2 linked regions of the Canis lupus familiaris genome follow. The protein of the gene in region 1 interacts with the protein of each later gene in a pairwise test. Links are inferred from orthologs where the notes say so. Each region holds a gene or a part of one and is shown in the gene's direction. Other genes may lie near its edges. The genes, in order: RUVBL2 and DPCD.

Evidence for each region.
Region 2: the proteins of RUVBL2 (region 1) and DPCD interact in binary tests that used the Homo sapiens proteins (3 or more experiments, as listed by UniProt). The two-hybrid records come from large-scale screens. The link is inferred for Canis lupus familiaris from reciprocal best matches to the Homo sapiens genes RUVBL2 and DPCD.

What each region holds. Positions count from the first base shown.
Region 1 is NC_049222.1:108,057,130-108,073,287, reverse strand, and holds the end of RUVBL2 (ruvB-like 2), read left to right. Parts: intron 1-2,455; coding exon 2,456-2,510; intron 2,511-4,184; coding exon 4,185-4,240; intron 4,241-4,528; coding exon 4,529-4,670; intron 4,671-6,449; coding exon 6,450-6,579; intron 6,580-6,743; coding exon 6,744-6,810; intron 6,811-9,494; coding exon 9,495-9,601; intron 9,602-9,689; coding exon 9,690-9,783; intron 9,784-10,172; coding exon 10,173-10,296; intron 10,297-10,644; coding exon 10,645-10,739; intron 10,740-10,838; coding exon 10,839-10,957; intron 10,958-13,347; coding exon 13,348-13,467; intron 13,468-13,900; coding exon 13,901-14,030; intron 14,031-14,401; coding exon 14,402-14,516; intron 14,517-14,648; coding exon 14,649-14,674; 3' UTR 14,675-14,767; downstream 14,768-16,158. Other genes in the region: LHB (lutropin subunit beta precursor), read right to left, coding at 15,157-15,399, 15,716-15,883. UniProt on the Homo sapiens protein: Possesses single-stranded DNA-stimulated ATPase and ATP-dependent DNA helicase (5' to 3') activity; hexamerization is thought to be critical for ATP hydrolysis and adjacent subunits in the ring-like structure contribute to the ATPase activity.
Region 2 is NC_049249.1:14,380,463-14,397,234, forward strand, and holds the start of DPCD (protein DPCD), read left to right. Parts: upstream 1-7,378; 5' UTR 7,379-7,458; coding exon 7,459-7,522; intron 7,523-11,940; coding exon 11,941-12,021; intron 12,022-16,772. Other genes in the region: POLL (DNA polymerase lambda), read right to left, coding at 1-37, 477-645, 2,661-2,789, 3,344-3,517, 4,272-4,589, 4,964-5,129, 5,319-5,613, 6,324-6,438. UniProt on the Homo sapiens protein: May play a role in the formation or function of ciliated cells.

The sequences.
Region 1 (16,158 bases):
TAGGAGGCAGGTCTGTTTGTGTGGGATTGCTAAGGGTTAAGATTTCTGGACCCATGCCCATTTATTGCCACAAGTAGGGTCTGGTAGGATGTGTCGTGATATGTGAGGGTGAGTTCTGAGTCTTTTTTTTTTTTTTAAGATTTTATGGGAGAGAGAGAGAGAGAGAGTGAAGCGGGGGTGGGAGGTGGGAGAGGAAGAAGCAGAGTCCCCTCTGAGCAGGAAGCCTGATGCACGGTTTGATCCCAGGACCTGAGGATCATGACTTGAGCCAAAGGCAGACACTTAACCCACTGAGCCACCCAGACACCCCTGTTCTGATTCTTCTGCTAGTGTTTGGGGCCAGTGTCTGTTGGTCTTGGTTCCAGCCTTCTATGAGGAGAGGGTAGGTGGGAGGGAAGCTTGTGACCATGTGGCGGCCATGGTCTAAGCTCCAGAGACTGGAGGCTTCCAGTGGGTTGGATGTCTACATCTCCTCTCCTGGTGGAAGAGAGACCTGTGGTTGGGGGCAGGTGGCCAAGGGACTGGGTCAGCAGGCTGGCTTCTTAGGCTTTCCTTTCCTTACTAGAAAGTGTGAGGGGCGCTTGGTTAAGTCACTGGAGCAGGTGACTCTTAATCTTGGGGTCCTGAGTTCGAGCCCCATGTTGGATATAGAGATTACTTAAATAAATAAAACTTAGAAAAGAAAGAAATCATCAGATACTCCAGTGCCAGCAAACAATACAGCCTAGGACCCACCACCCAGATTTCTTAATTTTTTAAAAAATATTTTATTTATTTATTCATGAGAGACACAGAGAGAGAGAGAGAGGCAGAGACACAAGCAGAGGGAGAAGTAGGCTCCATGCAGGGAGCCCGATGTGGGACTCCAAGATCAGGCCCTGGGCCACAGGCAGGCGCTAAACCGCTGAGCCACCCAGGGATCCCCACACCACCCAGATTTTTAACAGCCTTAGTGAGATATAATTCACATACCATATAATTTACCCATGTATTTATTTATTGTAAAGATTTTATTTATTTATTCATGAAAGACAGACAGGCAGAGACCTAGGCAGAAGGAGAAGCAGGCTGCCTGCAGGGAGCCCAGTGCAGGACTCAATCCCAGGACCCCAGGATCAGGACTTGAGCCAAAGGCAGATGCTCAACCACTGAGCCACCCAGCCACCCTACAATTTACCCATTTAAAATGTATAGTTCAGCAGCTTTTAGTATGTTCACAATTGTACACTAACACCTCCAGGACATCTTTATCCTCCTGAGAGGGAAACCCTGTAGCTCTTGGCCATCATCCCCCAGTCCTCTCAGACCCCGTGGCCCTAGGTCACCACCAATGTACTTCCAGTCTATGAATTCACTTATCCTGCATGTTTCATATAAGTGAAATCATGCCATATGTGATCTTAAGTGTCTGGCTTCTTTCACTTTGTATGTTTTCAAGGTTCATCCACACTACAGCATATGTTGGAACTTTCTTTTTATGGCTGAACAATATTCCAAGTGTTTACATACCACGTTTGGTTTATCCATTCATTCATTGATGGATATTTTGGGTTTTCCCACCTTCTGGCTCTTGTGAATAATGCCACTGTGAACACTTGGGGATTCTCGAACTGTCCTGGGGGTACTTACTCATCTCTCTCCCCTATATGAGAAGAGATGGTGGCTGGCTCCTTTTTTCAGAGAGCTGAGAACACCAGAGGGCTCAGTACCTGCTTGTTATATCAGCTCAACACTTCAGTACATCATTCATCCAAACCCTAACATTGAACCCCAAGTGAACAAGCAAGGTGTGGGCTGTGCCCTTCGTGGGACTCACATCCACCAGAGCCGATAATATTGAGCTGATAGTCTCCCTTCTAAATGTGAGATTACACAGGGAGATTGGGCTCCCAAGGGAGACCTTTTGTTCTGTCCAGACCTCCAGAGACCCTGGAAGGAGTCAGGCCGGGGCAGTGGTTGGGGGGCCTTCCTTCGTGAGCGTCACTAGATCTGATTCAGTGAGGGAAGTGAGGAGAGCAGGCTGGACTCTGGGACATGGGTGTGCAAGGGCCTAGTGACAGATTCAGGCAATGTGGTACAAGGGGGCTGGGCAATCAGGGACCAGTTTGCTGCTCTGCATTGGGTGTTTGTCCTTCCAGTCATGGGAGTGGGGAGAGCTGCTTCCTTCAGAAATAATTTCTGGGCTCCAAATAATGTGCTAGGCCCTGGGGACAGTGCTGTGAACGAGACAGACACGGTCCTTGTCTTTCTGGGACACTGTTGACTGGGGTCAACCAACCAGCGTTAGTGGTGACAAGTAAGAAGGGTGGGAGTGACAGTTGTTTGGGTTATTGGCCTGCCTGTGGGGAATAAGAATGGAAAGGACTGCCTCTAGGGATGTGGGCAGGAGGGACAGAGGAGTTGGTGAAAACTGGGATCATAAGGGCTTTTCTGATATGTCTTCCTCTATCCCCAGACGGCCACAACCAAGGTCCCAGAGATCCGAGATGTGACAAGAATTGAGCGTATTGGTGAGTGAGCAGGGTCTAGAGCCTGCCTGCACCCCACAGAGCCAACCAGCCCAGGGGCCATCGCATCCCCCTCTCTGATGGGGGGAGATAGGGCTGAGTGCCAGAGTGGGCTCAGATGGCACATGGAGGACCTTGCTAGGCTGCAACCTGAGATGCAACCCAGGCCGCACTTCTGCTGGCTTGGCTACCCCAGTTAGGCTCCTGGGTGTCCTAGCATTTTGCTTGGAAATCATAAAAGTGTCTGCTTGCTGAGTGCCTACTGGGCTTGGCCTAGAACTGAATGTCCCATGCCCTCAGCGCACACTGGCATTAGCTCCATGAGGGCAGGGACCAGGTCTGGCCTGTTTCTGGCTGTGTCCCTAGCAGGGGCCCCAGCAGAGCAGGCGCTCAACAGATAACCAGCAAATGCATGAGTTCATGTCCTGCCAGGTTCTCACAGCCATCCCAGCAGATGTGCATTGTGACTGCTCTCCTGTATTTTATTTAATGGAGGAAACTTTGACTCAGAGCAGTCAAACCACTGGTCCTGGCTCAATGTGCAGAGTAGGCCATAAATCTAGGAGTACGAAGTTGGGGTGTAGTAGGCCAACAGAGTGCAGCCTCCGCAAAGAGCTTTACCTGCATGGAAAAGGAAACTATACTCCTTTGTGCACATTTGTTCACTCTGCCTATAAGGGAGGCCCAGAAGTAAAGAGGCTAGCAACGTGGGTTCTGGAGGCCCGGTGCTGGGGACCACTTTTGCTGCAAGAGGCTAGTTGCTCTCTGCCCTGGAGTCCTTATCTACAAAATGGAGCAAAGGTGTTCACCTCATCAGTATTGATACAAGATTCCATCAGGTCATCGATAAAAAACCCTCAGCATGCAAGGGCCAACACGGTTTCAGCTATCAAAAGACCCAGTAGACACCAGCTACTCCCAGTACCAGCCCTCAGGATGCTTAAAATCTAGTGCTGGGGTCAGCGAATCTTTTCTCAAAGGGCCAGACAGTAAATCTCTTCTGTAGAAAAATCATCAGTTCTCCCATTGCAGTGTGAAAGCAGCCACAGGCAGTAAGTAAGTTAGGGGGTGTGGCTGTGTTCCAATAAAGCTTTATTTACAAAAACAAGCGACTGAGCCATAGGCTATCATTTGCCCAGCCCTAGTCCATTGTGAAACATTGAAATCCCACGTCTTTACCTCTTGCTGGGCTGTGTGGTCTTGGGCAAGGGGCCTGACCTCTCTGGTCTCCCTTCTCGAATTTGTGTTGATGAGGGCCTGAGGAGTTTTTTGAACCCCAGAAGCACTCCTGGGTGGTAATAGCTGGGACTCCTGTTTCTCAGGGTCACGTGGCACAAAATAAGAATCTGTGGGGCCACTTAGGCTATAAACATAAAGTGTTTGTGATTGTTAGTGGTCACGGTTAGATCCTGATCTGATGTGGTTAACCAGATCTGGGTGATTCTGGTTCCCTCTGCTGTATCCTAAGGGCAGCTCCAGCTTATTGAGCATTTACCCCCACTAGCTATTCTCCCAGTAACGTAGAGACATGGACCCACCCCCCCTCATTTGACCAAGGAGGAAGCCAGGGCTGAGAGAAGCTGCCCCTTTCCTCAGGCCACACATTATCACGAGCTGGCTGGTAAACGTGTCTTCTGGTTCTTCCTCCTCCACCCCCTCTCCCCCGTCCCCCCACAGGTGCGCACTCCCACATCCGGGGACTGGGACTGGATGATGCCTTGGAGCCACGGCAGGTAGAACTGAGGGCAGTGGGCTGGGAAGGCTGATCCATGGATGTACAGGGTTCCCAGGGTCCCTGGGCATGTTAGGATCTCCCAGACCTTTGGCTACATATCTATAAAATTTAGCCACATGTAGAGTTTTATTAGTCCTAAAAATTTGGGGTGGAAAAGGCTTTTTTTGCTTTTCCCAGGCCCTAACCAGCATCGTGCCCTTTCGTCTCACTGGTCTGGAGGTGGTAGAAATGGGGGTGGCAGTCCAGTAGGAAGTCACATGGTGTGCTCTCACCTCCCACTCTACAGGCTTCCCAGGGCATGGTGGGGCAGCTGGCAGCCCGGCGGGCAGCTGGTGTTGTGCTGGAGATGATCCGGGAAGGGAAGATCGCTGGGCGGGCTGTGCTCATCGCTGGCCAGCCGGGCACTGGGAAGACGGCTATCGCCATGGGTAAGAGGCCTCTCAGGGCAGGAGCTCTTCTGGTCCCTGCCAGTTAATCCTTTCTGTGTAAATCAAGGTTGGGTTCGGCCACATTCAACAGACAGCCCAAAATGGCAGAGACTTAAATGCTCTGCTTCATTCTGTCACATAGAAGAATCTGAACATAAGCCACTTAGGGCTTGTTGAGCTGTTCCATCAAGTATTCACCTTTCTACCTCAATATCCTCTGTACTTTTTTTTTTTTTTTAATTAATTAATTAATTTATTTATGATAGTCACAGAGAGAGAGAGAGAGAGGCAGAGACATAGGCAGAGGGAGAAGCAGGCTCCATGCACCGGGACCCCGATGTGGGATTCGATCCCGGATCTCCAGGATCACGCCCTGGGCCAAAGGCAGGCGCCAAACCGCTGTGCCACCCAGGGATCCCTCCTCTGTACTTTTATGGCAGAGTCACCTCATGTTCCAAGAGGGTTGCCTAAGCTTCGGCCTTCCTGTCCATTTTTTAGTATATGTGTTGCCGAAGTGAGCACAGGCCTTCCCATCCATACTCCCATGTAGGAGGAAGGAGAAAGAGATCTTGCAGTGAGGGTGTACCTCCCTACCTTTAAAAGTAGTTAGCTCCCGTTAAGCAGCTGTCTTGGGACCCCCACATAATTTTTTTTTTTTTTTTTTTTTAAGATTCTTTATTTATTCATTCATGAGAGACACAGAGAGAGAGAGAGAGGCAGAGACACAGGCAGAGGGAGAAGCAGGCTCCATGCAGGGAGCTTGACGCGGGACTTGATCCCAAGTCTCCAGGATCAGGCCCTGGGCTGAATGTGGCACTAAACTGCTGAGCCATACTTTTTCTTATATCTGCCCCATACTTTTTCTTATATCTTATTGACTAGAACTTAATCATATGGTTACATTCTGCTGCGACACTATGGGACATTAACATGACATGAGGGAGCAGGGAGGGATGTGATATGGCAGTTGTCAGGAGAGACTTCCCAGAGAAGTCAGGCCCTGAGCTAAGACTTGCAGGGTGTCTGGGAGTCTTCTGGACACGCAATATGGGACGGGGCTATCCAGGCAAGAGTGTGGCACATGTCTGGAAAGGGGACCAGGAAGAATTTCCACCTCTTACTGGTCAGAAGGGTCCAGTGACTTCCTGTCTGTGAGACTTGACGTGGTGCTTAGAGTGACTGCAAGGTCAGCCCCGGTGTCTGCCGGCCAGCCCCAGGCCAGACAGAAGACCTGTCCCTGGGCTGGTTACAGGTCATGTGATGGGTTCATGGTTGAGCACCAGTGCATGCCTGCCACCCCCAGATCGCTTCTCTGCAGGTGCGGTCCCACACCAGCACTTGTTCTGTTGTGGTCCTCATTATACAGAGATACAAACAGACAAGACTTCTCAGGATCACATGGTGCTAAGCGGTGGAACCGGGATTCGAACCTAGGTGGTCTGGCTCTAGAGCCACCACCCTTAACTACTCTTTCAGTCCTCTTTTGGCCTTGATTCCTGCTCATTACCCCCAAGCCTAAAAGGCTAAACAACTTCTAAAGCCCTGGCGAGGTTATAGGGTCATGAAATTGACCTTCTGGTCAGCATGGGGTTCGAGTCCAGGTCTTCTATGTAGCCCGCCATCCCTGGCTTTCTCCATGTCTCCCTGTCTGCCCCCAACACTGTGTGTATTTCACCTACGCTACTTCCTGAGGAGGGAGAAGAGCTGGTTTGACACAGAATAGGTGTTGGGGACCTGGTGCCAGGCTGTCCCCACTTACCCAGACCACCTCTTCCCCAGGCATGGCACAGGCCCTGGGCCCTGACACCCCGTTCACAGCCATCGCGGGCAGTGAGATCTTCTCGCTGGAGATGAGTAAGACAGAGGCACTGACCCAGGCCTTCCGGCGCTCTATTGGCGTTCGAATCAAGTAAGCACAGGACCCGGTGTGGGGGATGGAGTTAGCTTGCAGTGGCCTTGGGATGACCCCTGCCTGCCCTGTCCGGCTTGTCCCATGCCTAAGGGCTCATGGGAGTTAGCCATTTGCAAGGGCCTGGGCCTCGGGCTCTCTGCTCACATCCGTTTTCCGCCTAGGGAGGAGACTGAGATCATTGAAGGGGAAGTGGTGGAGATCCAGATTGACCGTCCAGCCACAGGGACGGTGAGTCTGCTGCTGAGCCTGGGCCACCTCCAGGGCTGGAGGATGGGGTGCCAGAACCCAAGGGATGTTGGATGTTTGAGCTGCAGGTCAGAGCCCTCTACTGTGTACTGTGGGGGTCATTGACAGTTTATCCACTTTTTTTTTTTAAGATTTTATTTATTTATTCATGAGAGACACAGAGAGAGAGAGGCAGAGACACAGGCAGAGGGAGAAGCAGGCTCCATGCAGGGAGCCTGACACGGGACTCGATCCTGGGTCTCCAGGATCACGCCCTGGGCTGAAGGTGGCGCTAAACCACTGAGCCACCCAGGCGCCCCAGTTTATCCACTTGTGAGTGACGCCCTGAGCCGTTAAAAGCAAGTGGTGTCATGACAGAGAAGGTCTGGAAGTTCCTCACACTTAAATTTTTTTTTTAACTTTTATTTATTTAAATCATCTCTGCCTACAACATGCGGGGCTCAAACTCATGACCCCAAGATCAAGAGTTGCATGCTGTTCTCACTGAGCCAGCCAGGTGTCCCTCTCACAGTTCGTTCTTTCTTTCTTTTTCTTTTTTAAAATTTATCTTAAATAAAATAATTTAAATTCAGTTTGCCAACATGTCATGGTAAACACCTAGTGTTCATCTCACAGTTAATGGTTAGGCTTAAGAACCTGTTCTGTGAGATTTTATGCAGCTTAGCCCTAAAAGGTGTTTCCTATCCAGCTTACATGGTCATGGTGATTTGCTCCCTTTTTTTTTTTTTCAGCTAAGAATTTTAACTTTTTTTTTTTTTTTTTTAAGATTTATTTATTCATGAGAGACACAGAGAGAGAGAGGCAGAGACATAGGGAGAGGGAGAAGCAGGCTTCTCACAGGGAACCTGATGCGGTACTCGATCCCAGGACCCTGGGATCACAACCTGAGCCACAGGCAGATAGATGCTCGACCACGGAGCCACCCAAATGCCCCAACATTTTTGTTGTAAATTGCAACAGATGTAAAGAAGCACGTAAAATAAGCGAATGGTCTAGTATGTTATTATAAAACAAATCTCCTTAGAACTACCACCAAGATAAGAAATTAGAACTTTGAAGAAAAAAAAAAAAAAAAGAACTTTGCCAGCTCCCATCCCTACCTCATTGCTCTTTCTACAACACCCCACATCCTCACAAGGGTGGCTGCCCTTGCCTGTTTTCACTTCTTGGGTGTCATTGGTTTTATCACCCAGCAATGCATTCCCATGCATTAGTCAAGATTGCCCATTTTTAAGATTTCTTTTTTCTTTTCTTTTTTTTTAATAGAGAGCATAAGTGGGGGCACAGGGAGAGGGAGAGGCAGATTTCCTGCTGAGCAGGGAGCCAGAGCTGGGGCTTGATCCCAGGACTCCGGGATCATGACCTGAGCCAAAGTCAGATGCTTAACCAAGTGAGCCACCCGGGTGCCTCTGATGTAAAGATTATGTAAATAAATCGATAAATCTTTAAAATATAATAAAATAAAAATGTAAAACCAAAACCATCTCTCTCTTCCTCCTGAATTCCAGCCCTTTTGTCCTGCCATCTTTCCCTACAAAAAGAACAGCTCACTAGAAATAAGAGACAAGTGGATGTGCTGGAAGACACTGACTGTGCTTATTTTGTGGGGAGAAAGTGTGGTATTTTTGTTTTCTTAGCTGTGTTTAGCTTAGCTCTGTTTTCTGGGTTTGTGACTAATAAAAAAAAAAAAAAAACACAAGTTACGTGGACATAAAACAAGGAATGTTAGAGTGTGGCACACTCCCACCTCCCCACATCAGGGCCCTCTAGTCCATGTTGCTGTTCTTAAAGACTTTATCTTTTAGGTAAGTTGTTGTTTGTTATCTTCCTGGGTTTTTAGTAATCGGTTTGTTGAGCAACCAACAAACAATAAGCTGCACACAGTGAAAGTACAGGATGTTGGGGCACCAGGGTGGCTTGGTAGTGCGTCTGACGCTTGGTTTCTTTTCTTTTATTTATTTATTTATTTTTTTAAATAAAGATTTTATTTATTTATTCATGGGAGACACAGAGAGAGAGAGAGGCAGAGACACAGGCAGAGGGAGAAGCGGACTCCATGCAGGGAGCCCAATGTGGGACTCAATCCTAGGACCCTGGGATCACGACCTGAGCCAAAGGCAAACACTCAACCATTAAGCCACTCAGGCATCCCTGAAGCTTGGTTTCATCTCAGGTCATGATCTCACGATTTCATGGTCATGGGATTGAGTACTGCGTTGGTCTCTGCACTCAGTGCAGAGTCTGTGTCAGATTCTTCCTCGCTTCCTCCCTGCTGCCCGTCTCTCACTCTTTTTTTTTTTTTTTTTTTTTTAAGATGTTTTAAATTTATTCATGAGAGACACAGAGAGCAAGGCAGAGACATAGGCAGAGGGAGAAGCAAGTTCCCTGTGGGGAGCCTGATGTAGACTTGATCCCAGGACCTGGAGATCATGACCTGAGCCAAAGGCAGATAGATTCTCAACCACTGAGCCCCACCAGTGCCTCTCCCTCCCTCAAATAAATAAATAAATAAATAATTTTTAAAAGAGTTTATAGGATGTTAAGTTTTGACATATCCACAGTCCATTGCCCCCTAAAGCATCCCTGTGTCATGCCCATTTCCAAGCTGTGTTGGGGAGACAATGGGCCCCCTCTGAACTCCTTGGCTGGCCTGTCACCCATCTCAGGGCTCTAAGGTCGGCAAGCTGACCCTCAAGACCACAGAGATGGAGACTATATACGACCTGGGCACCAAGATGATTGAGTCCCTGACTAAGGACAAGGTCCAGGCTGGGTGAGTGGCAGGGGGCCATGGTAGGTGGTCAGGGTGGGGGAATCTCGAGCCCTTTCATGTCCTCACTCCCACCCTCCTCCACATGCAGGGATGTGATTACCATCGACAAGGCCACAGGCAAGATCTCCAAGCTGGGCCGCTCCTTCACACGCGCTCGCGACTATGATGCCATGGGCTCCCAGGTGGGCCAGGGCTTTGGGGGTCCGCTCACTCCAGGCACCAGGATGTTTGCATCTCCTCTATCACCCCCATGGCCCAGAGGGTCCGGATCCTCCAGTAGCCCCACCCCATGTCCCTTACTCCTGGTTCTTCCCTGTACCCACCAGGACAAGGAGGGCACTTCATCTTTGCAGTTTGCTCATGGTTTCTGAGGTCCTCCAGTAACCTCCGATCCTTCAGTGCTCTCGAGTGCCCTGGTGGTAACTTCCTCTTGGACCTGGGATTTCTGGATTCTTAGCTCTACCCCAGGAAGTCCAATCTCCCCCAACTCTCCACCCAGACAGCCCCTTTGGGCCCCCTTTCATGTTCTTCTTTACTCTTACCTCTCCCTCCCTGCCCCCTGGCCCCATAGACCAAGTTTGTGCAGTGTCCAGACGGAGAGCTCCAGAAACGCAAGGAGGTCGTACACACCGTGTCCCTGCATGAGATTGATGTCATCAACTCCCGCACCCAGGGCTTCCTGGCTCTCTTCTCAGGTGAGGCCCAGCAGGCTGGCTCTGTTCATGGCACACACTGCTCCTCCTACCTCCAGTACAGCCCCCTGGTTCGTCCTACCCACACTGTTGCCCTCATTCCCTCTTGGATAGTCCCAATGGGGGCTTGCATGTCCTACCCTCTCTTCTTCCTGGGTTCTTTGCCTCGGGTCTTCTTCTCTGGGACATTGCAGACCGAATGAGACACTCCTTCTGTCACTTTGCCACTCCAGTTTTGATCTCTCTTCCCTCTATCCCTGGTGTCCCATCTTCATTTCTCTCTGTCCACTCTCCGGCCCTCTGTCCCTGTCTCCTCTCTGACACTCCCTGTGTCACCCCCACCTCCTTCAGGCGACACAGGGGAGATCAAGTCAGAAGTCCGAGAGCAGATCAATGCCAAGGTGGCCGAGTGGCGTGAGGAGGGCAAGGCTGAGATCATCCCTGGCGTGAGTACCAGGGTGTGGCCAGGGCAGGCGGCTCACAGTGAGAGCAAATGGGAGGAAAGAGGCTTGGGTAGGTTTGACACATGCCCCAATGGCTCCCAGGTGCTGTTTATCGACGAGGTCCACATGCTGGACATTGAGAGCTTCTCCTTCCTCAATCGGGCCCTGGAGAGTGACATGGCGCCCGTCCTCATCATGGCCACCAACCGAGGCATCACCCGGTGAGCCAGCTGCTGGCCTCCCCAGAGGTCTCTGGGAGAAACAGGGTGCTCCAGGTAGTGGGTATGGGCACAGGGTAAACAGGGAATGTTTGTTGAGTTCCCTGTCAGGAAGGGTATGGACTTAGCTGGTGTCACAAGGCTATCCATGTACGGGGGCCTAGACAAAGTTTGTCTTTTAGCTTCTCCCTAAAACAAAGCAGGCGGGTGCTCAGGGCGGTAGGCAGGCAGTTCTGCTCCATCAGGAAGTTGAGGATCATGTTCTTTCTGTATTTTAGTTCCTGTAGCCCTTGAGGCTCAAGTTCCCAAACTGTGTGCCAAGGCATGCCAGGATGCTGCTGAAAACACATGAGTGCTCTGGGATGTTCTGAGTTTTCTTTTCTTTTCTTTTCTTTTCTTTTCTTTTCTTTTCTTTTCTTTTCTTTCTTTTCTTTCTTTTCTTTTTTCTTTTCTTTTCTTTTCTTTCTTCTTTCTTCTTTCTTTTTTTAATGATTTTATTTATTTATTCATGAGAGACACAGAGGCAGAGACACAGGCAGAGGGAGAAGCAGGCTCCATGTAGGGAGCCTGATGTGGGACTCGATCCTTGGCCTCCAGGATCACGCCCTGAACCGAAGGCAGATGCCAAACCGCTGAGCCACCTAGGCGTCCCATGTTTTGAGTTTCTGAGGGATGCACAGAGACAGATGTGTTTGACACTGCCTGCATCACTACAGTTAGGTCATTTAGCCCTAACGACCTTATAGAACAAAACTTAATATTGCTTTTGGCCTAAGAATGCCGGGGGAAAATTTTAGAGCCATGGAGCTCACCTGGTTCTGGGAATCTGTGCCCTAGGGTGTTGCCAGCACCTCTCGTCCTGTTGTCCCAGCTGGTCTTCTTCTCTGCCTCATCTGTATTTTGGTGGACAGGGAGAAGGAAGTGGGTGGTAAACAGCTCCCCTGGGAAGCTGGGGCCTGGAGGGTGCACTTAGCACTTCCACCGTCACCCACTGCCCAGCACCACCCTGGCTGCTCTGGAAGCTGAGGAATGTCTTCTCCAGTGCTGTGGCCATGTGGCAGCTAAAACTGGTCGGTAGAGGGTGGCCATCATTACAGAGGACAAAGGGGCAGATTTTCTGTGGCTTGTTTCCTGGGTGAACAGCTCTGACCCTTAAAAGAAGTTCAGGAGGTGGATATTGTCTCAGCCCCACGTTACAGAGGATAGCAAGGCCTGGTGACGTGCCTGAGGTTGCATGGAGAAGGTGTCAGAGCCAGAGTTGCCTCTCCTAACGAAGATAGGAAGGGGCCAGCTGAGGGTAAATGTATGGCAGCTGCACGCGGGGCACATCCTGGGCCAGGGCACAAACCCAAGTCGCTCCTCTGTTATCTGCATAAAATGTATTCTTGAGTCTACTACGTACTCTCACTTAAATGGATTTGTAAGCCCCTCTCCCCTACCCCCCCCCCCCCATCAGTGCTGGCAACTCTGGTGCTCCTGTGTGACTGGGTGTGGACCCTCTAATCTAAGGTCCAGCAAGTTGGCGCCCTGCCTGCTTTCTGGTTACAGCTCACCTGCTGTAAATGAGTGTCCTTTTCTTTCTTTCTTTCTTTCTTTTTTTTTTTTTTTTTTTTTTTTTTTGAGTGTCCTTTTCATGCCGTGTTATCTGCTTTTTATTAATGATTTGGGATTTAAAAGGGCCCCCTAGTTGCCCAGGCACAAGGCGAGGATGGATGTGCCTTACAGAGAAAGTGTGTGTGTCAGATGAGCTTCGTTCCAGGCATGATGTAGAGTGCTGTCTGCCACGAGTTCAATGCGAGTGGGTCAGTAGTGTATGCTAAATAAGATGTCTTTAAACAGAAGCACGTAGAACCAGGTTATATATTGGTTGGTTGACAAAAATACTGTGACCAAAGGCTCACAAGAACCTACCACATACATCTCCAAGAAGCAGTGGTTCATCATTTGCTAGTGAGTGTCTGCCCCCCCCCCCCCCCCCCACTTAATAGAATGTCACTACCACAAATTACAAGAATCCACTCTCTCCTGGCACTGCCATGTGCCAGGGCCTGCTCTGGGCCAGGTGCAGCACGAATAGCACAGAATAGGACCATCACAGTCTCTTACCTGTGGAGCTCTATGTCAAGCAGAGGAGTGAGACCTTGACTCAGTAATCCTGGATATAGATACCTAGCTCAGACCAACCCAGTTTTCTGTGGGCGGGGGTGGTGACACAGCTGGGGGACAGCTGCACAGTTGGTGATGACAGTAGCCATGAGCTGAAGGTTAGGTGATATTTGCCCAGTGAGTGGGCTGTGATGGAGAGGGTGGGTGGGGTATTTTAAGTAGAGGAAATGGAGACCTGGGTTCTGGGAGCATCACCCTGACCACCCTCCCTTTCTCCTCTTCCCCAGGATCCGGGGTACCAGCTACCAGAGCCCCCATGGCATCCCCATCGACCTACTAGACCGACTGCTCATTGTCTCCACCTCTCCCTACAGTGAGAAGGACACAAAGCAGATCCTACGCATCCGGTATGGGCAGGGCCGCCTGGGGTTCTGGGGCAGGACCAGGCTACGGGTCTGAGAAGCAGGGCTGGCACCCACCCTATTTGGCAAGTGGAGGCAGTGAGGTCTGAAGGGGTAGGTCTCTGGGCCTGCAGGAGGTAGGGCTGGGCTGGGCTGGGCAACCAAGCAATGGCCTCAGATCTGGTGGTGGGCCAGTGGCTGACACTGGGGAAAGAGCCCTGGCTGGAGAGGGTTGGAAGCCCAGGTGACAGGTCCAGCCCATGCCTCAGTGGCCCTTCTTGCTTGCCGTTCTGTGGTTCTGTGAACATAGACTCCACATGTCCCCCAGGACTTCAACAGCGCCCAGGGGGAAGCGCCAGCCAGGGGTTTGCTGCAGTCAGAGCCCTGGCCCTGGCTGACCACACCCCACCCCACCCCACCCCGCCCCACCTGCCCACAGGTGTGAAGAGGAAGACGTAGAAATGAGTGAGGACGCCTACACGGTGCTGACGCGCATCGGCCTGGAGACCTCATTACGCTACGCCATCCAGCTTATCACAGCTGCCAGCCTGGTGTGCCGGAAACGCAAGGTCAGCTAGCCCAGTAACCCCCGGGGCCCGCCCAAGTGAGTGACCTACTCCTCACTCCAAGGGCTTGGAGGGCGTTGTTGCATTTAGCCCCAGAACATAGGTTTTCAAAGGCTGGGAAGTTGGGTCTGCGGAGTTTATACCTGTATTTCCTCGCCTGACACATAGCAGGTGCTTCATAGATGTCTCTCATCTCAAAGTTAATGCCGTCAAGTCCATCTTACAGATGAAGAAACTAAGGACCGGAGGGGTTGGACCCTCAGCCGGGAGGTGGCCGATGCAGGATTCAGGCCCAAGCAGTCTGGCCCGGGGGTCTTCACCCTGACCTGCCGCACTGGGAGGGGCCCCACTGAGATCTGGCCTTTCCCTATCAGGGCACGGAAGTACAGGTAGATGACATCAAACGGGTCTACTCGCTCTTTCTGGACGAGTCACGCTCCACGCAGTACATGAAGGAGTACCAGGATGCCTTTCTCTTCAACGAGCTCAGTGAGTGTCCTCTGCTGCACCTGTCCCCAGGGTCACCCACCCCAGGGGGGCAGGCCATATGTAGCCTGGATATCTCAGGCCCTTCCCTCGAGACCACACTGACCACATGGCCCCCCTTCCTTCTCCCCACAGAAGGTGAAACCATGGACACCTCCTGAGCTGATGTCACCTTCACCTCCCCCCCCCCCACGCCCTGTTTTCTACTAGAGTTCTGACGCTGTAACTTTGTATAAAATGGTTCTGAAACTGGACCCATTCTCTCTCTCTCTCTCTCTCTCTCTTTTTTTTTTTTTTTTTTTTTTTTTAGAGCTCAAGGGAATGGCAGGGGGAGGGCAGAGGGAGAGGGAGAAAGAGAGAACCCTAGGGAGGCTCCAGGATGCCCAGTGTGAAGCCCAGTGTGGGGCTCGATCCCATGATCCCAAGATCATGAACTGAGACAAAATCAAGAATCAGATGCTCAACCTACTGAGCCACCCAGATGCCCTGAAAAACTAGACCCATTCTGTGTGTGTGTGCATCTACATGCGTACATGCATCCTGAGCCTGACAGAGACAACCTGAGTGCAGTTTGAGAAGCCTTTATTGGGAGGGGAGGGAAGGAGCATCTGCTGGCTCCAGGAGTTGGGGCAGGAGGGGATCCTTAGAGGAACAGGAGGCCCGGGAGCAGGGGGCGGTCACAGGCCAAGGATTGAGCTCTGGGACCCCCACAGTCGGAGTTGCTGAGACGGCAGGGCCCACAGCGACAGCTGAGGGCCACGGGGAAGGAGACCATGGGGTCCACGCCAGGCGGGCATCCGGGGAGCCGGATGGAAGCAAAGTGCAGCTCATGGTAGGTGCACACTGGCTGGGGCACAGGTGGCAGGGCGGCTGGCAGCACTCGTACCTGTAGGCCAGGAGAGGGATGGGGGGGCATGACTACCTGCCTGTGGTCAGGCCCTCCCCTGAGCTCTCCTGCCGCCCCCCAGGTCTCAAACTCAGGTGTCCAGCAGACCCTCTGTGCTCTCCCTCCCTTCCTCCCACATGCCCAGCTTTGACTTCCAATTCCCCAGCCCCTGCCCAGGGGGTGGGCCATCCTTCCATCCCAGCTGTTGTTTTACATCTGATGTGGGCCTGGCCCTGAGTAATCCACCCTGAAGCTGAGGTGGCACCCGTTGTTCCCAGTCCAGCAGGGCTGGTCCCCACCATCCCCTGAAGCTCACCATGCTGGGGCAGTAGCCGGCACAGATGGTGGTGGTGAAGGTGATACAGACCGGGCAGGCTTCGTTCTCAGCAGCCAGGGTGGCGTTGATGGGCCGGCACAGCGGCCGCAATGGCCCCCTGGATGCCCACACCCCACCCACACTCAGCAGCAGCCACAGCAGCAACCCCTGGGACAAGGCCAGTGTCTCAGGGCCAGCCAGACATCTCTACTCTGAGCCCTTACCCTCCCCACCCCGGACATTCAGGGACCCAGCTCCCCTGCCTGACATCTTCCATTCAGGACCCATCCCTCCCACTTTGATTCTCTGCCCCTGATACTCAGGAACCCCAGATCCTCCCACACTGCAGAGTCCCACCCTCAGGCCCTGCTCCACCTGCCTAGGGCCCTCCTGGCAGAAAGTCCGGTGGCTGTCCACAGCCTTCTAGAAGGAAGCCACCTCAA
Region 2 (16,772 bases), on another chromosome or scaffold:
TTCTCCTCCTGACTCACCAGGTCATCTGTCAGAAACCCTAGCACGACATCGGAAGGCTGCTAGGAGGGTAGAGAGCCAGGCCTGGGTTGCCCTGTCCTCCCAGGTCTCTCCTGTTTATCCCTAGGTCCTCCATTCCCAGTTCATGAATTTCATTACTGGGTGGCTTTGCCCTCTCTGGGCCTGCCTCTTTAAACCACGCATAGTCATTCCTCCCCGTGTCCCCTACAGTGTCGTAGACAGGTGAGGTGAAACTCAATCTGCAGGCAGTATTGAGCACCTGACTGGAGGAGTGGTGGACTGTTTCATCTCTTCCCTGAAATGGCTCTGGCCACGAGGGAGAGGTGGCATTCTCATGAAGCAGCCTTCCCCTGCTTCCTGCTTAGAGCTTGCAACTCCGAGGCTCTCCCTCCTGGGAGTTAGTTACCCAGCCCCGCATTGCCCCGGCCAGCCTGCTCACCCAGAGATGGAGCTTATACCTTGTCGCCGAAGGCTGTCAAGGAGACGACTGAAGATGCCCTGGTGAGACTGGCCATCCGGGTGAGTAAGCAGCACGTCCACATCACCACAGGTTGCCTTCCCCCGTCGGTAAGAACCGCATGCCACACATAGCAGCCCGGGGTTGAAGGCCTGAGCTGATTTCCGGACCTGGGGAAGAGCAGGGGGCAGTGGGGAGGGCCTGTGGACCTCAAGCCCTGTAAGGAGTGCCTTCCCATGGCAGTACAAGAGACTTCCCTGACCCAGGAGCCCATACTTCCAGCTGATACCCTAAGCCAATCCCTGGATTTGAGACACAACCCTGAGGGAAAGCCTCAAGGAGCAGATGCCAGAGGTCTACCCTGGGGAATGGCAGTTCTCCAGCTTTGCTAGGACAGAAGAGAAGAAAATGTGCTCTCACCACCAGACTCAGCCTGAAGAGAGATCTAAGAGGTGTATACTCAGATTCTGATGGAAGGCACTGATCTTTTCTTCTAGAGCTCTTTAAGAGCAGAGAGACACACCTTCTTTTGGCCCTTGCCCCAACCCATGTGCCCAGGTCTGTCCACTTAGGACAAAGCACAAGGTGCCCGTCTGCCAGGTCTCAGCAGCCCCAGGTATAGATTTGGAGCTAAAGGCAGAGTATGTGAGTTGGGGCTTGAGGCCTGAGCAGGTGGCTAGCAGGGTGCCCTGGCCCAGGCCTAGGGGGAAATGGAGCACAGGAATACAACTGTACCTATAGTAAAGGAAAAGAAAAAAAGCAAAGAGGAGGCAATTCTGAGCTAGTGCTCACACTCTTACTTGGAAGAAGGAGGCTCGGCATGGAGAGGGAGCCAAGAAAGAGGGGGCTGTCAGCAGAAGGATCATCCTCACTGAAGGAACTAAGCCCATTAGCCTCTGCCCCAGAGACACGGAAGCCTTTCATATGCAGATGGCCTCCACGCCTCTACCCCAGGACACTGAGGATTTCTGGGACCCTGGATACTTTGGCCAGGACACCTCAATTCTCCTGACAGGCCAGGCTCTTCTAATCCCCTCACTCCCTTCTTGAGCCTCCCTACAGGCTGGGAGGAGACCTAGGATGAGTAATCCCATCAAAAACTCCTAAAGCTGGAGCCCTTAAATGCCAGGTGGCAAGCCACCACTGTTCCAATGGGCTGGGGGCTGGAGGCTCACTGGGACATTCTCCGTGCCTGGACACCGTGGCTGAGTGACGGTGTCATCACTAGCACTGAGGCCTCGTGATGGGTGGACAAAAGAGCCTGTCCATCCATCCTGCACCAGCCTCATAGTCCAGTAGCCTGAATAGAGTTGGAGGCTGATTTCAACTAAGGTGGGCCAGGAACTCTATAGAATCCTACCTTATCAAAACCTGATCCCAAAGTAGCAGATCTTGCCCACAGCCACCAGCCCCTAATCCTGATACCAACTGAACAAATGATATATCTAACCCCAAATACATCCTAGTTTCTAATCTAGGTTTTTGATGAATTTAATCCCTAACCCAACTCTAACCTAATGTTGGCCAAATCTTATTTTTAGGACAATGACAAATCTTAACTAAAAGCAATACTAAGAAAACCCTACTCTTAATTTGGGCCTAACATTAATTCAATTCAACCTAGCTTTCCTCTGACCCCAAACCTGATTGTACTGGCACACTGTCTCTATACCAATTCTAACCCAAACTCTGAACCAGCCTCAGGTTGTGGGGAGTAAGGGAGGGTCCTGTGGAAGGTGTGTATGTCTGGAGATAGGAAACTTTGTACAAATTTTGGAGACAAAGGGTCCATAGTTTTCATTGGGTTCTCAGAAAAGTTTGTGAATCAAAGAACACTAAGAACCTCTGCCCTAACCTACTCTGACCTAACCCAGTTCAAACCCCAATATCCTAAAGTAGATCTGACCATAATCCATCTCTAATCCAGCCCTAACATTAACCCAGTCCTAACAGAATTCCAGGATCTAAGCCAATGCTTACTGACCCTAACCTAGACGCCTGGTGTTACAGCACTTCCTACTAAAGCCACCCACCCCTCCAGCTTCAGTTTCAATTGGTCCTTTCCCCACTGGTCTCAACCGCTGGTGTCCCACAGCTTCCTCTGCCTGGCTCCCCAGCTGAGGGGTCACGTGTTCTTGGCTTCCAGCCAGGCCCTGACCTTATACCAAGGCCTGGCTCTCCTTACTGTCTGCTCAATCTCTGTAGCCTCCTCCCGGGGTATGCGTTCCAGGAAGTCATCATAATGCTTCAGACCAATGGCCTGCTGGGTAGTCAGGGAGGCCTGGTTGCGGATGTCTTCTAGGGTCCGGTAACCCTGGAAAAAGAAACCAGATGAGGAGGCTATGAGCAGCTAGAACCAATGGAGAGGCAGTGAATGAGCACATACACAAGGCTTCCATCACCCCCAGATTCCAAGGAAGGCCTGAAGAAGGACCAACCCCAGGAGTGGTTGCATTTGTAATCAGTGGGACCCAAGAGGAGTAGGAAGCATGGGAGACACATCCCAATCCAGCCCTGCCACAACACTAAAATACTGGCTCATAAGTCCATCAGTCTGAGAGATTCTGGGCATCACCAGGTTGGGGAAACCACTGATCTGGACACATAGCCCTGAGGCCTGGTCTTCTTAGGAAGGCCCTTACTAGTCAGGGGGAGAGAAAAACACACTTCTTGTCTCTCTGCTTCTATCACAAATTAATGTCTTGGGGCTATCAGACAACAGGGCAGGTCTGGGAGCCTGGAGAGGGGTCTCCATGAGCCCTAGTCCCCCTCCTGGTTCATTCCCATCAGAGCACAGGGTACAAGAACTGTGGGGCAGGACCTCTAAGAAAGAGCAAAACTAAGGTGGGTGCTGGGACATAGTGTGACCTGTTGGTACCACATCTGGGCAGTTTTGGTTCCGGCTCCCCAGATGTTGGAGAAGAGCTCCAAGATAGGCACACTCTCACTGATATGGTCCAGCTTCCGCAGATGCCCGCTCTCCAGGATTTCTACGATTTTCTCGGCCATCCGCTTTCCAATCCCGGGGATACCGAAGGCCTCCTGGGGGAGGAGGAGGCAGAGGCAGGAAAAGAAGAGTGAGAGGATGGGAGGTGTACAGCCAGTGGTGGGTTAGCAGACTCCTTTAGCACGTATCTGAATAAAAGCCAGCTTGGTCAGTTGGCAACTGATGGCTGTGTAAAGCCTGGGCACAAGTGAAGATGAGAAGATTGGATGGGCTGGGCTGGGTCACTTGTCTTTTGGCTCTCAGAGGGATGGGGGTCAGCACGGGAAGCAGAGAAAAGACAGCAGTGTGACACTAGTCACCAACATCATGGTAACAACAAGGTGGGGGAGGCCTTTCTGAGCCAGGTCCTGCACTGCAGGGAGCATCACATTTGGTCCTCCCAGGAGTACCTGAGTCCCTCACTAATCTTAGTTCCTTTTCATTGCTCAAACAGTTTAAGTAACTTGCCTAGAATCACACAGTGAATGATGGGAACCAGAATTCAAACCGTGGTCTATTGGCCTCCAGCGTCTAACCTTTATAAAAACCTTTTACTATGGAAAAAAATCCACAGTAGAGAACAATATAATGAACCCCCAAGTACCTGTCACAGCTTCTATAATTATCAAGGTTCTGTCAATCTGCTTTTATCCATCTCCCTGTTTTATTTCTTTTGTGCAAGTCTCAGACATCATAAAACTTAAGCCCTCCCCACCTCCTCCCCACTTGTGACTGATGCCTCCACCAACCTCCAGCCAGTAAACAGAGAGCACCCCATCTCCCTGCATCCCCGCCCTGGCCCGCAGGTACCTGGTAGGAGGTGACAGGCTTGTGAAAGCTCTTGAGGGCATTGATGGCCTTGGCATAGCCCAGGGCCCTCCACTTGTCTCCTTGAACACTGTAGGCTTTGGCTAGCACTTCTAGCTTCTCTGTGATGTGAGGGTTGTGGTTGACTGCCTTCTGGCTCGAAGGTTGTGCACAGACCCACTTATCCAGGCCCTTAGGGGCTGGGCGAGGGTCATCATCTCCCTCAGGGTGGGTGGAGTAGTGGCCACTGATAAGGGCTTCGAGGTCAGCTGCGCTAACCTGGGTCTCTTCCCCATCACTGGTTTCAGCATCAGAGCCAAGCTTGAGGTAGGGAAAGAGAAGAGATGATAAATTCATGCCCCTGGCCCCCAGAAGAACTCTTCAAAGGTGGGGCTGAGTCTTCTAGTCAGACTCAGGAATGAGGCTGGGTCTCTTGATTCAGACCTGGGTCTCCTTAACTGTGGGGCCATGTTCCTTTAGGCTTCCCCCAGTGCCCAGCCCTAGAAGCCCCTAAATGGTAGGTGTGCCTGGGCAAATGCAGGCATGATGAGTGCTGGGAAGAGCCAAATGACTTCGCAATAGAGATCCTTCCTCTTTTAGGGGCCTGGGATTTTCTGAACAACCACCAGGCCCTCCCTGTTCCTGTGACCTAGTTTCCAGGGGAAGGGAGCTCTGAGGGCTGGGAGGCTCCTGACCTGAGCTTGGGTGCTCGGGGCCTCCTCTGTCCTCTGGGGAGGAGATACAGGCCTGGTGGCAGAACGAGGAGGAGTGAGAGCTGTCTTGAGCAGAGCCTCATGGGATCCTGGAGGAGCAGAAAATTCTTGGTCTGCCTTGCTGAGCTGTGGTTGGAGCCCTGGGTACCTGCAGGGATGGTGATGGCAAGTTAAGACCCCAAAGGCCTGGCTCTACCCCTGCTCCCAATCTTCTACTCTGAAATCTTGTTTTTTCTGATTAAAACAATAAAAGTTATTTTTAATAACCCAAGAAGAGAGTTCAAGATGCTGCCAGGAAACACTTGAGGAAGGATTGGGGTGGGGGGAGGTAGCTCACCTGCTGGGGATGCAGATGCTGAATCCTGCCGTGTCCACCAGCCTTCCTTCCTGCAGGCACAGGCTCAGCCAGGTGGACTTCACCAGCTGAGCACCCTGGGGCAGCTGGGACAGTCCGACGAGGCGGAGGGCTCGCTCACCGTCCATGCCTTCATCCACCACGATGTGAGTGAGCCCTGAGGCATGGGCAGCACATATCTGGCCACCATGCTGGATAATCTGCTTCTCAAAGAGTTCTGCTCGGGCTCGCCCAATGCCACTGGGCACAACATGTGCCCGCAGGGAGCTCAGCCACTCTGTGCAGGGGACATCCAGATGCTTATTGTCATGACTGATGGATATGATTCAAATGAACCCAAACAATCGTTTTCCTTCCATCCAGACAGCCAGCCTTCTGGGGATTCAGCCGCAAGCATACACTTAATTTCCCCATGAACCCTCACTTGATGTAAGGGGCAAGGATTTCAGTATGTCCTGTTCCCTCATGTAAACTAGAACAGTGCCTAGCATATTGTAGGTATCCTGCATATGGATTCATTTGATCATCTTTACATTCAAGTATTAAGAGACATCTACGTCACACAAGGCATAAGGCCATATGTCTTGCCATTACAGGCCTCACAGTGTAACAGATATTCCCCTCCCCCACCCTGCCACATGAGGTGTTGTCATTTATTTGTCAACTTGGCTGCAAAATAATGTAACTCTGGGGACCTGAGTTTCCCACCTTCAGGCAACCTCCTGGAGAGCAAAGGAATCTGCTGGTCATTTCCTTAGGGGCCAGAGAGTATTTTCTGATTAACAGAGGTCTAGGGATGGGTTAGAAAATAACACAGCCAAGTGGCCTGGCAAAGACTGGGGCCCAAGCCTGGTACAACAGATACACAAACCAACCTGCAGGCCATGGGTTGGCAGAAATCAGCTCTACTATCTGATTCTAGTCATGAACAATATAGGAAGCCTAGGGGTTCAAGTACATGAGGGCTCTGAGGGTGGATCTGCTCACCTCTTTCTTCTTCTCCACCTTCTTGCTTGGGAATCTTTGCAAGTGCTTTTGATGATGGATTGGCATGAATTTTCCTCCTTTTGGGAAATGCCTTCAAGATGCCCCCAGGGTCCATTGGGGTATTGGCCAAATCACGGCCTTTCAGTTTTAGGTTTGATCGGGCCAACTGTCATGTGGAAACCCAGAACTGAGGTTACCCAACCCTTTGCCTATGGAGGTGCTGTCTCTAACAACCGGACTTTGGAGGCAGTACCTCAGTTCCCCTAGGGGTCTCCCAAAACCCAGCTGAGCTTCAGCAATTTAGCCTAGCACTTACCAGCCTTTCAAAGTCAGAATACTGGGGGATATAAAGGGAAGAATGGGACTATTGAGGAACTCTGGAGGGGTACAAAATGATACTCCTCAGATGGTTGCTCTAAAGAGTCAGTGTAGTGTCTGCTCTGCAGCATCCCACTTTGAAAGGGCTTTACCAAAAGGGGATGCCAGGCTAGGAAATGGAGCTACATCTTTAGAAAGGGCTTGGGCTCCCAAGAGGATTGACGGACTTAGATGAATCTGCATTTAAATCCCACATGATCTTCCTCTACCCCATCACAGGCCCGCAGAGGAAACCCTCGGGGTGAGGGTGTCCGGGGGGCGGGGGAACGCCCTACACCTGCCCTGGTGGTGGGCCTCTAGTTCGGGGGAGCTCAGCCCCGCAGCTGCGGGGAGACGGGGCATGGCCACAGCAGGTGTTAGGGCGCCTTCCGAGGCTGGGGGGAGTCTCGGCCTCACAGCTGGGGGTGGAGACGACCCGCAGCTGTGGGGTCCCCGCCGCGTCCCCAGCTGGCGCGCACCCAGGGACTCCCAGCTGGGGGCCAGAGGAGGGCTGGAGGGTCTGGACCCTGCCCTAAGGACCGCTCCCCCCGCCGCGATTGGGTCCGCGGTGGTCGGACCCCGCGGCTCACCCGCGAGCCGGCCGGAGTAAACCACTTACCAGAGCAGCCAATGAGAGCGGACGAAGGGCGTGGCGGGTGGGAAAAGGGTGGGGGGAGGGAGGCCAAATGCCCGGAACACCTTCCGGGTCGGCCGGAAGTGACCGTAGGCGGAATGGTTGCCATGGCAGCGGCCGGTCGCGCGGCTGGCTGGAGGGAAGATGGCGGTAACCGGCTGGTTGGAGTGTCTGCGGACCGCCGAGAAGACGGCGCTGCTGCAGGACGGTAACTCGAGGCCCCCCACGAACTCCCTAGTCCTTTCCCCCAGGGCCCAGCCCTTCGGACTGGGGCCTCCGCGAAGGGCCTTCGAGCCTGGGACGGCCGAGCTGAAAGGGCCGCGGCTGCCAGACGAGGCCCGGTCCTGCTTTGGCAGATGAGGAAACTGAGGCCCAGAGCGATGACGTGACTGGAACACGCGCCTCTGGACACCTCCTAGTTCCCTCTACACCACTTCGCCCCGCTCTGAGTTCTGTTACTAATAAAAACTCCTTTCATATTCGTTATGTTATTTGCTCCAGACAGCTGTCCCAAGCAGCTCTTTAATTTCCACCCCATTTTACGGGAAGAGGAAACTGAAATTGAAGAGGGTTTTAGACCAGCCCTAGCCCGTTGTCCACTCGGTAGGGTTCTGTTGCTGAATGCAGCCTGGTGTCATTGAAGAGGTGGGGAGACCTGGGCCCTAGTTACTACTCTGCCATTAAATCACAGCTTCTTTATTTGCTTGGGCCTTATTTTCCTCGTCTGTAAAATGAGCTGGATGGGCAATCTCTGATGTCCTTTCCAGCTGTCATATGTTTGTAAGTGAACTTCTAAATATTCCCTGGGATCTATAGGGAAAAACAGCAAGGGCCCCAGCGCTGTGCCTGGGAAAGGTGGGCATAGGGGTAAGGAGTCCTGATTTTGTCTCACTCTAGGATTGGCGGGTGTAGGACCCCCCATTGCCGCAGAAGTCCTTTCCTGGACGCACTTGGCAGCCAGATGAATTAGGTCTAAATTCATGTAGCTTGAGGATACCAGCTGGAAGCACACATCCATCCATCCACCGGAGGAGGCCAATCAGGGAAGCTTGGAAATTAATATCACCTGCTCATTTGCTCGTTCATTCACGCAGCATTTAGGGAGGCTTTTACTATGTGCTAGGTTGTGTATTAGAGCAGAGAATGAAAAAAAGATATGTAAATAAATGTGTGTTAAGTAGACGTTGGGATTTTCTGTAAAGTGTATGAGAGCACGAAGATGGAAATGATCATCTCTTTGAAAGAAGACCTGACAGAAGAGGTAAAGTTTATGGGTCCTAAGGAATTAATGTGTTTGCTAAGTGTAGAAGAGGAGATGGCTGTTCTAGAAGGAATGACTCACATGTAAAAAAAAAAAAAAAAAAAAAAAAGGGCATGGAGGTGTGAAAGTATATGGCTGATTACTAGGGGAAAACAAAACATTTAGTGAGGCTGAAACAGTAACAGTCACCTAGCCATAACCCCCCACACTGTCAGGTACCAGGTGCTAGGATGCAAGGTGAATAAAAGTTCTCTTTTCTCAAGGAGCAGTGAGGAGAAATGGTGGGAAATGAAGGATTTTAAATAAATTGGGTATGTTGTGATAGACCTTTTATGCCAAGCTAAAGATTTTGGACATTATTTTCATAGGACAGTGGTGTCTGGTTTTATTATAAGAAATAGATAATATAGAATTTACCATTTTAATGATACAGTTCTGTGGCATGAAGTATATTCATATTGTTGTGCAACCATCACCACCATCCATCTCCAGCACTGGATCTCTTCAACTGAAACTCTGTACCTGTTAACACTAATTCCCCCATTCCCAGCCTCTGGCAACTACCATTCCACTTTCTGTCTTTATGGAATTGATTATAGCAGGAACCTCATGTAAGTGGAGACATACAATATTTGTCCTTTTGTGACTGGCATATTTCACTTAGCAACCACTTATTTCAACGCCCATCTATGTTGCATGTATCAAAGCTAAATAACATTCCACTGTATGTATGCATATGCCACATTGTATTTATCCATTCATCTGTTGATGGACAGATGCTTCCACTTGTTTAGCTATTGTGAGTAGTACTGGACTGAACATGGGGGTACAAGTATTCGAGTTCTTGCTTTCACTTCCTTTGGTCACAGGACAGTTCTTAACAAATATTACATCATCTAGGATTTTGTTAGGTTTTTTTGTTAGTAGCATCCACAACAATGCTGTTGGTCTTTTTTTCCCCCAAGTCAAATAATAATAATTAATGTTAAGTATATGGATTGGATACATCTTGTCAAACCTCTCCTATAGATTTACTTTCCTGTTGGGTATGTGGAGAATATTACCTCCCTCTCACAAAAAAAATCACTGCTATTGGTAGTGAGAACCCAATACTCTTGAATTTTTTTTCAGGAAGAATTGATGCTCATTATGGAAATATGAAAAATAACTAAAGTCACCTATCAACTACCATCTAGAGATAATCATAATTTACATTTTTTAAAAGATTTTATTTATTAGAGAGTGAGCAAGACTGGCAGAGGCAGAGGGAGAAGCAGACTCCCTGCTGAGCAGAGCGCCAGATGTGGGGCTCAATCCCAGGATCCTGGAATCATGACCTGAGCCAAAGGCAGATGTTCAACAAACTGAGCCACCTAGGCACCACCATAATTTACATTTTCATGCATAAACTTTCATATTTCTTCATGCATGTACAGTCATATATATATTTTTTTACCAAAGTATACTAATAAAATTATGTGTGTGTATATATATATACACACACATACACATATATAGCTATAAAGTAAATATGTGATAGAATAAAATACAGATAATTACAACTCCTGGGTAGTAACCACAAAAGAAAAACCAGTTGACTGTATAACAAGCAATTATTTGGGAAAGCCCACTTCAAATAAAGTTAAAAGGCAATTGAAACAATATTTGCAACATATAAAACACATGGTTAATATACATAAAGCTCAATCAGATTAGTAAAAAAAGAAGATGAATACCCAAATAAACTAAGGTCTAAATAGGTAATTCACTATAAACAATAAACCCTTGGAACAGTGTTCAGCCTTACAGATATTTAAAGCTATGCACATTATCCCAGTATGATTATTAGAGTATGGGTTTTGGCCTCAAATGAGCTTAAATCTAGGTCTGTCATTTCATAGCTTTATGAGCTTGGACAAGCTACATGACCTGTAAGCCTCCATTTTCCTCATTTGTGAAATACAGGTAATGGGGTCACATTGGATTATTGTGAGAATTAAATACAATAAAACATGTAAAATGCTAGGCCAATAGTAAGCACTGCATCCTTCCAGAACTCAATATGGACTCCAGTGGGAGAGGAGGTTCAGGCCAGAAACCTTCAGCTGCTCATAGGCAGCACTTTTTACCCCACTCCTGACAGGAAAACCCCTTCCAGCTCTATGAGCCATCCAAATGATTTGGAGTGGTATACCTAGGGACGTGCTGAGAAGCTCTACAAATTTGGGGCATGAGTTTCCCCAGCATACAAATTAAGAATGACTCAAGGGAACTATGTCCAGGAGAGTGAATTAAATGGGAAAATGGCTTGGGAGATCAGATCCAGTTGCAGATTTTAGGTAGTGACTCCTTTAACTGCTCAGGGTCCTTGGGACTCTTATTCATCAAGTATAGGTTGGGTAGCTGCACCCTGTTATTCGGCTCACTGAGGAGCCTACCTGTGTCAACTCACCCATTTGTAAAAATAGGGAAAATTACATAGTCACTTAAAAAATAATTATGCTATATAGGTGGAATTATAGCTATATAGATGGAAGGCTAGGAGACTCCCCTGGATTCTTGCAGGGGATTCTTGTGAAAGTTGAATCAGTGTTCATTCTCTCAATTAATATTTAGTTGAGCTCCTAATATGTGCCAGGTACTGTGCTTAGTGTTAGGGAAACCAAACCATAAAAGTGGGATAAAAACCCTCCTATAAAGACAGGCAGTAATCAATGTATATAAATCATACTGAGGCAAATGCTGTAAAGAAAATGTAAGAGGACTAACATGTGGCTGTGTGCTAGGAATGGCTTAGAGGCATGCAGAAGGCACAGCAATGGTGTGTCTAGAAGGAGTGCTTGGTCAGGAAACCCAGTTCAATATCCTGACCACATAGGCTTGGTTTTAGGAACTGAGGATAGAAAGCTAAATATGGCACCGTTCCTAGGGAGACAAGATGCTCTTAAAAAAAGTATCATACTATGTGATAAATACTCCACTATGGATATGAATAAAGCAGTAGGGAGATCCAAACGAATACAGAAGTGATGAATTTTGCCAAGGTGGCTAAAGAATTCTCAGTGGACTGACATTTGAGCTGGATTTTGAAGGGCAAGGAGTTCAGCAGGAGAATGGAGCTTTGCTGGTAGAGGGAACAGCAGAGCAAAGACCCCATTTAGAGAAAGCTGCATAAAAGAAAGGTGTCCCAGGGCATGTCTTACAGTGATGGTGGCAGTAGTTGGCAAGGAGCTCATGGGCAGCTCTGGGAGGGTTTCTTGTGCTCAAGTCCAAGGCTGTTGGTGTTTCCCAGGAAAATCCCTTGATGTGCAAGTTGCAAGGTAAGAAGAGGCTTGAGGGTAAGGCACTCTCTGCTTTGTGTGTAGGAAGAAGGAAGGTGCACTATTTGTTCCCAGATGGAAAGGAAATGGCCGAAGAATATGATGAGAAGACGGGTGAACTACTTGGTGAGTGACAGGGCCTCCCAAAGGCCCTGAGGAACACTTGGGGTAACCTAAAGCACAGGTAAGCAATTCCAGCCTTAGGCTTGAGGGAGGAATGAGCACCAAAGGTGGAAGCCAGGGAAGACTGAGGCCCTCAAGGCAAGATTGTTCCTGAGAATAATGTGAGGTTAGAGCTGGACACTGGAGGTAAGTTCCACCTGACCCCCAGACAAATGAGAGTGTGAGGAAGTCTTCTGTAGGGAAACTGTCGGGAAAGAACTGTAGACAGAAGGCAGAATTGGAAGTGATCCTCTCTGCCAGGCACAGTGAATGGAGGTAAGGGCAGGCTTTAACTGCAGTTGTATTGCTCGTTTTCTAAAGCCACAGCAGGAGCAAGCAAGCAGCAGCAGCAGCCAGTACTGACCTGGCCTCAGAGGGGGCGCTGTTAAATCTGACCCTTGGAAAATGTCTGAATCAAAGTGGATTGGGGGTAAAAATGGGGATTTTGCAAGATGGTTATTTTCATTCCTACAGCTCTTTTCCTCTAAGACTAGGCTCGTGAATAAGGGGTCCAGCTCAGATTTCTGAGAATTCCTTGATTTGTCCATCCTCTGTACCTAGGTATGCATATCAGCATTAACAGACTTCCCAGAGCTAGGTGGCTGCTGCTTTGACCCAGGGTCGGAGGCTGTCAGCAGTGGGAGTTGGTCTCTTTATTAAGTTCCACCTGAAATGCTAAATCCAATGGTGGAATCATGGGTTGGGTTATTTTCTTGTCATTATTCTTGACTTTAATTTCTTCCTGTGCCTGATCGACAGGTAGTATTGGCAAGGGAATTTTCTTTTTCCCTTTTTCTGACAGCTCATAAATGTCTAGAACCGACAACACGGATTACACTGGTTTGCATTTTCTTAGTCTCCAGTCTTAAAATGTGTGTCCTGCGCATGTTCAGTCGTAGAGTGAAGTGTTGATCCCTCCTTATTATGAGCTGCTTGGGCTCCAGTCCCAATTGGTTTAGTCTGGTGCTATTAAAAATCTTGATGTGTTTAGCATATGACACTGATTTGGTGGAAACCAATACAGTAGTAATATCCTCACAATGCATTGTAATTTATAGCGCTCCCAGGGGGTGACAGCCTTGGAATGCCTAACAGGGGCGAGCTTATGAAAGCAGAGGTCACGTGAGCTAACCACCACCATTGCCAGGCTAGAGACTAGCTGCAGTTCCTCCCTGCAGCTCCCAGCACCACACCTCTCCTCCACTCAGAGCAAATAAAATGCCTGTAGCTGCTGTGGCCATAAAAACAAGCAAACAAATAACTCCTGGCCTCTTAGTTGTGCTTGGACGTGAAATTAAAATGAAAAACAAGTTCAGGTACCTTCCTCTGTAGCATCCCACATTAACCTGTCACTCTTCTCAGCAGATGGGGAGTAGACAATCGCCTACAAACTCCTTTTTTCTTAGAAGCTGAAATGGAGATTCATAGGAGAACACTGGCTAAAGTTTACCTAATAATGATATTAATGTCATAACTTTTATTAAGGTACTATGCTAAGTGCTTTACATGAGTTACCTCACTGAATCATCCTCATTACAGCCCAATGAGGTAGGTACTGTTGTGCCCTTTTACAGTCGGGGAAAAAACAGAAGCTCTAAGAGGTTAAGCACCTTGCTCAGAATTCCATAGCTGGTTAGTTTCTGAGTTAGGATTTAAGCCTAAGTTTGCCTGGTTAAGAGCCCATGCTTTAATGCACAACAACATACTATTGGGAGTTGAGAATATTTAATCCTGCCTTCTTACTAAGTTTTGTTCTCCCCAGAATGACTGAAGCAGGGGCTGGTGGGAGCAAGACAGAGATGGGCAGAAGGAGCACCCCACTCAAACCACTGGGCCCTTTGAACAGCTGAACCTTCTCTTACTCATGTTCAACCACTCACCCTACCCCCGCCAACTGCCCTTGCAAAATTATTATTTATGTATAAACAGTCTCAGGGCCCGAACTAGAGCTTGAGCACTCTATGAAGTAAAATACGGACAGGGTTATTATGGCCATAAATGAGAATTAAGTTTCCATTTTTCCAGTTCACTATACAACTTTGGTAATTCTCTAAACTGGTTTTCTGTTAGAAAAACCCAGAAAATAATTTGCCAGTGGTGCATCTGGGTAGGACAGAGTCCTTCCAGTTGGTGTTAACAAGCATAGTGGTGTCATATTTTTTTCAACCGTCTCAGTGCTATTCATTCCCACCCCGCACAATGAATGCTGTATGTAGTCATAGAGGAAAAACCTGAAGGGCCCCATAACAATGATCGGAACATCAAACCAGCCCCAGAAGAACACAGCATGTCCAGGGGGGCAGAGGCTGAAGGGCAGGCCATCCCCCAGCGATTACATTTGGATTACTGGCTTAATCTGCTTTGGTATTTGACCGCCAGCCTAACCACCCCAGGCTGCATTTGGAGGATATTGAGCACTTTCATCCCTAAGCACTTCACTGGCTTTATAAATGACCCACTCGATTCCCTTCAGCCTCCTCAGGGATGGGACGTGGCAGCTGTTTAATAGCCACAGAGCAATGTTGCAGTGTTTTAGGGCAGAAAAGAAGAATCCTGCATCCAGTTTAAGCTGCAGGGAGTATTTAGGAAAGGGGAATGTAATTATCCGCATTGGAAGCAGGCCAAGGCTTGGAGCTTTGGGGAAAGAGGCCTTTAGGACCTCCACTTTCCAGCCCACCTGAAAGATGGGCCTTCCTTTAAGCAGTCTAGGACATCAGCCTGCTTCCTGCTGACTTAGGAAAAAAGCCCCCAGGCACTGCCTCCTTCATATATTCCTCATCAGACCCTTTAGGGTCATTGAAAGTCTCCTTTCCAAGGACTGGCCCTGGCTCAGCTGGGAAGAAAAGACAGCGTCCCAGGGAGCTACCCTACACACACTAGTTTGAGTTTAACATATAATCAAATCAGAGTGACAGCAGGTGGAAACAGTCCTCTGTTGCCACAGGAACTGTCCTTGAGTTCAGGAGCAAAGACAGGATGAGAAATACAAGACGAAGTGTATTTGCACGTGTGCATTCGAGCTTGTATACATGGAGAAAATAACAAGGACTTCACCAAAACTGTTTATTGGATCTTATAAGGGAATAAGTAGGGAGACTTTCTTCTACATTCTACCAAAGAATTTAATCCCAAGGTGTTTAAAAAGAAAGAAAGCAAGCAAGAAAGCGGTGAAACAGCCAGAAGGCTGGCCTCCAGTTAAGCGAGGTATTACATGAATAGATTTGGATATACTCCCTGGTCACAGTCCATTCACTTAAGAGAGTAGAAATATTTGTGAAAAAAAAAAAAGTTGCCTATAAAGCATATTTCCAAGTTTTACTCTTCCTTATTAATTTTCATTATAAACTTGGAAATGTGTTTCTAGGGAGAATTTTTGGCCCTAAGACGTAATAAAATCACACTGCAGAATGCAGCAGACCTTATAAAAGCACATATTCAAGGGAAAATTCTAATTTTATAGCACACTTTTGTGTTCAGCTTGCATGCCTTACTTGGAGCAGGGAGGGTATTTGGGTTTGGCATAGCTGCTCCAGAGGTCTCGAAGAAACCCATCCTAGAATCCTACTACAAGTCTCACCCCCTCAGCCCAGAAAGAGAAGTGGATGGGAGCAGCTGCAGCAGAACATCAGGCACTTTTTGACCCATTTAGCTCCTTCCAATGGCTGTGGGAAGGCTGCTGGCCTTTTGCAGCACTTAGGGTGCCCACCTAGAGGATGCCAATGTGGCAGGAAGGGAGAGGAGCCCAGGGGTTATAGCTGGAGGAGAGGGGAAGGCTCCCCTGCTGTCATGGCTGCACCATGAGGACATGGATGACTGGGATTCCTCAGTATTCTGGCTGGGGTTCTCAAGTAATGTCCACTTAACTAGTTTTTCACTTTTAATTTCTATACTGTATGTACCTTAGGGGAAAAAGAAAACAATTTATGTAAACATGTGGTTTGTAAAACAAGGTAAAGGGGATTCCTGGGTGGCTCAGCGGTTGAGCGCACCTGCCTTCGGCCCAGGGTGTGATCCTGGAGTCCCGGGATTGAGTCCCACATCGGGTTCCTGCATGGAGCCTGCCCTTCCCTCTGCCTGTGTCTCTGCCTCTGTGTGTGTGTGTGTGTGTGTCATGAATAAATAAATAAAATCTTTAAAATAAATTAAATAAAGCAAGGTAAAATAGAGATTATTGTTTGCATTATAAAAGGATGAACCTACTCTACAAAAACAAATTCATATGAGATCTTCTGTAAATAATGCAGTTAAAATATGGTATGAACCTAAAGTTTTGTTTAAATACAATTCTGGGGCTGTTGTTTTGAGCCAGGTAGAGCTGAAATGAGTGAATTCTTCATTTTGACTTTCTAAATCATGAGACAAATCTGCCTGTCAGCTTTCATCTTTTTAATTTACTTTTCCTTTGCACATTTGCAGAGAGAAAAAAATGCACCTCAACTCTGACTTGTTGGGATCTGCAATTTCCCTGTTACTAGTGGCTACCCTTTTCCTAACCAGCACACCTCTCCCTTGCTTGAAATCACACCTTCTTAACTCCACTCAGCTCCTTTCAGAGCTTTGTTCCAATCCCTTTGTTTGAGTGCCCAGAATACAAGCTTTCCAGGTTATCCAATATCGAAATGCTCTGCTGGGATTTCAGCAGTTGTGAGGTCCTGGTCAAATGGACAAAACTGGTGTAAAGGCCTGCCGCGCCTGCTTTTCTCCTGTTCCAATCA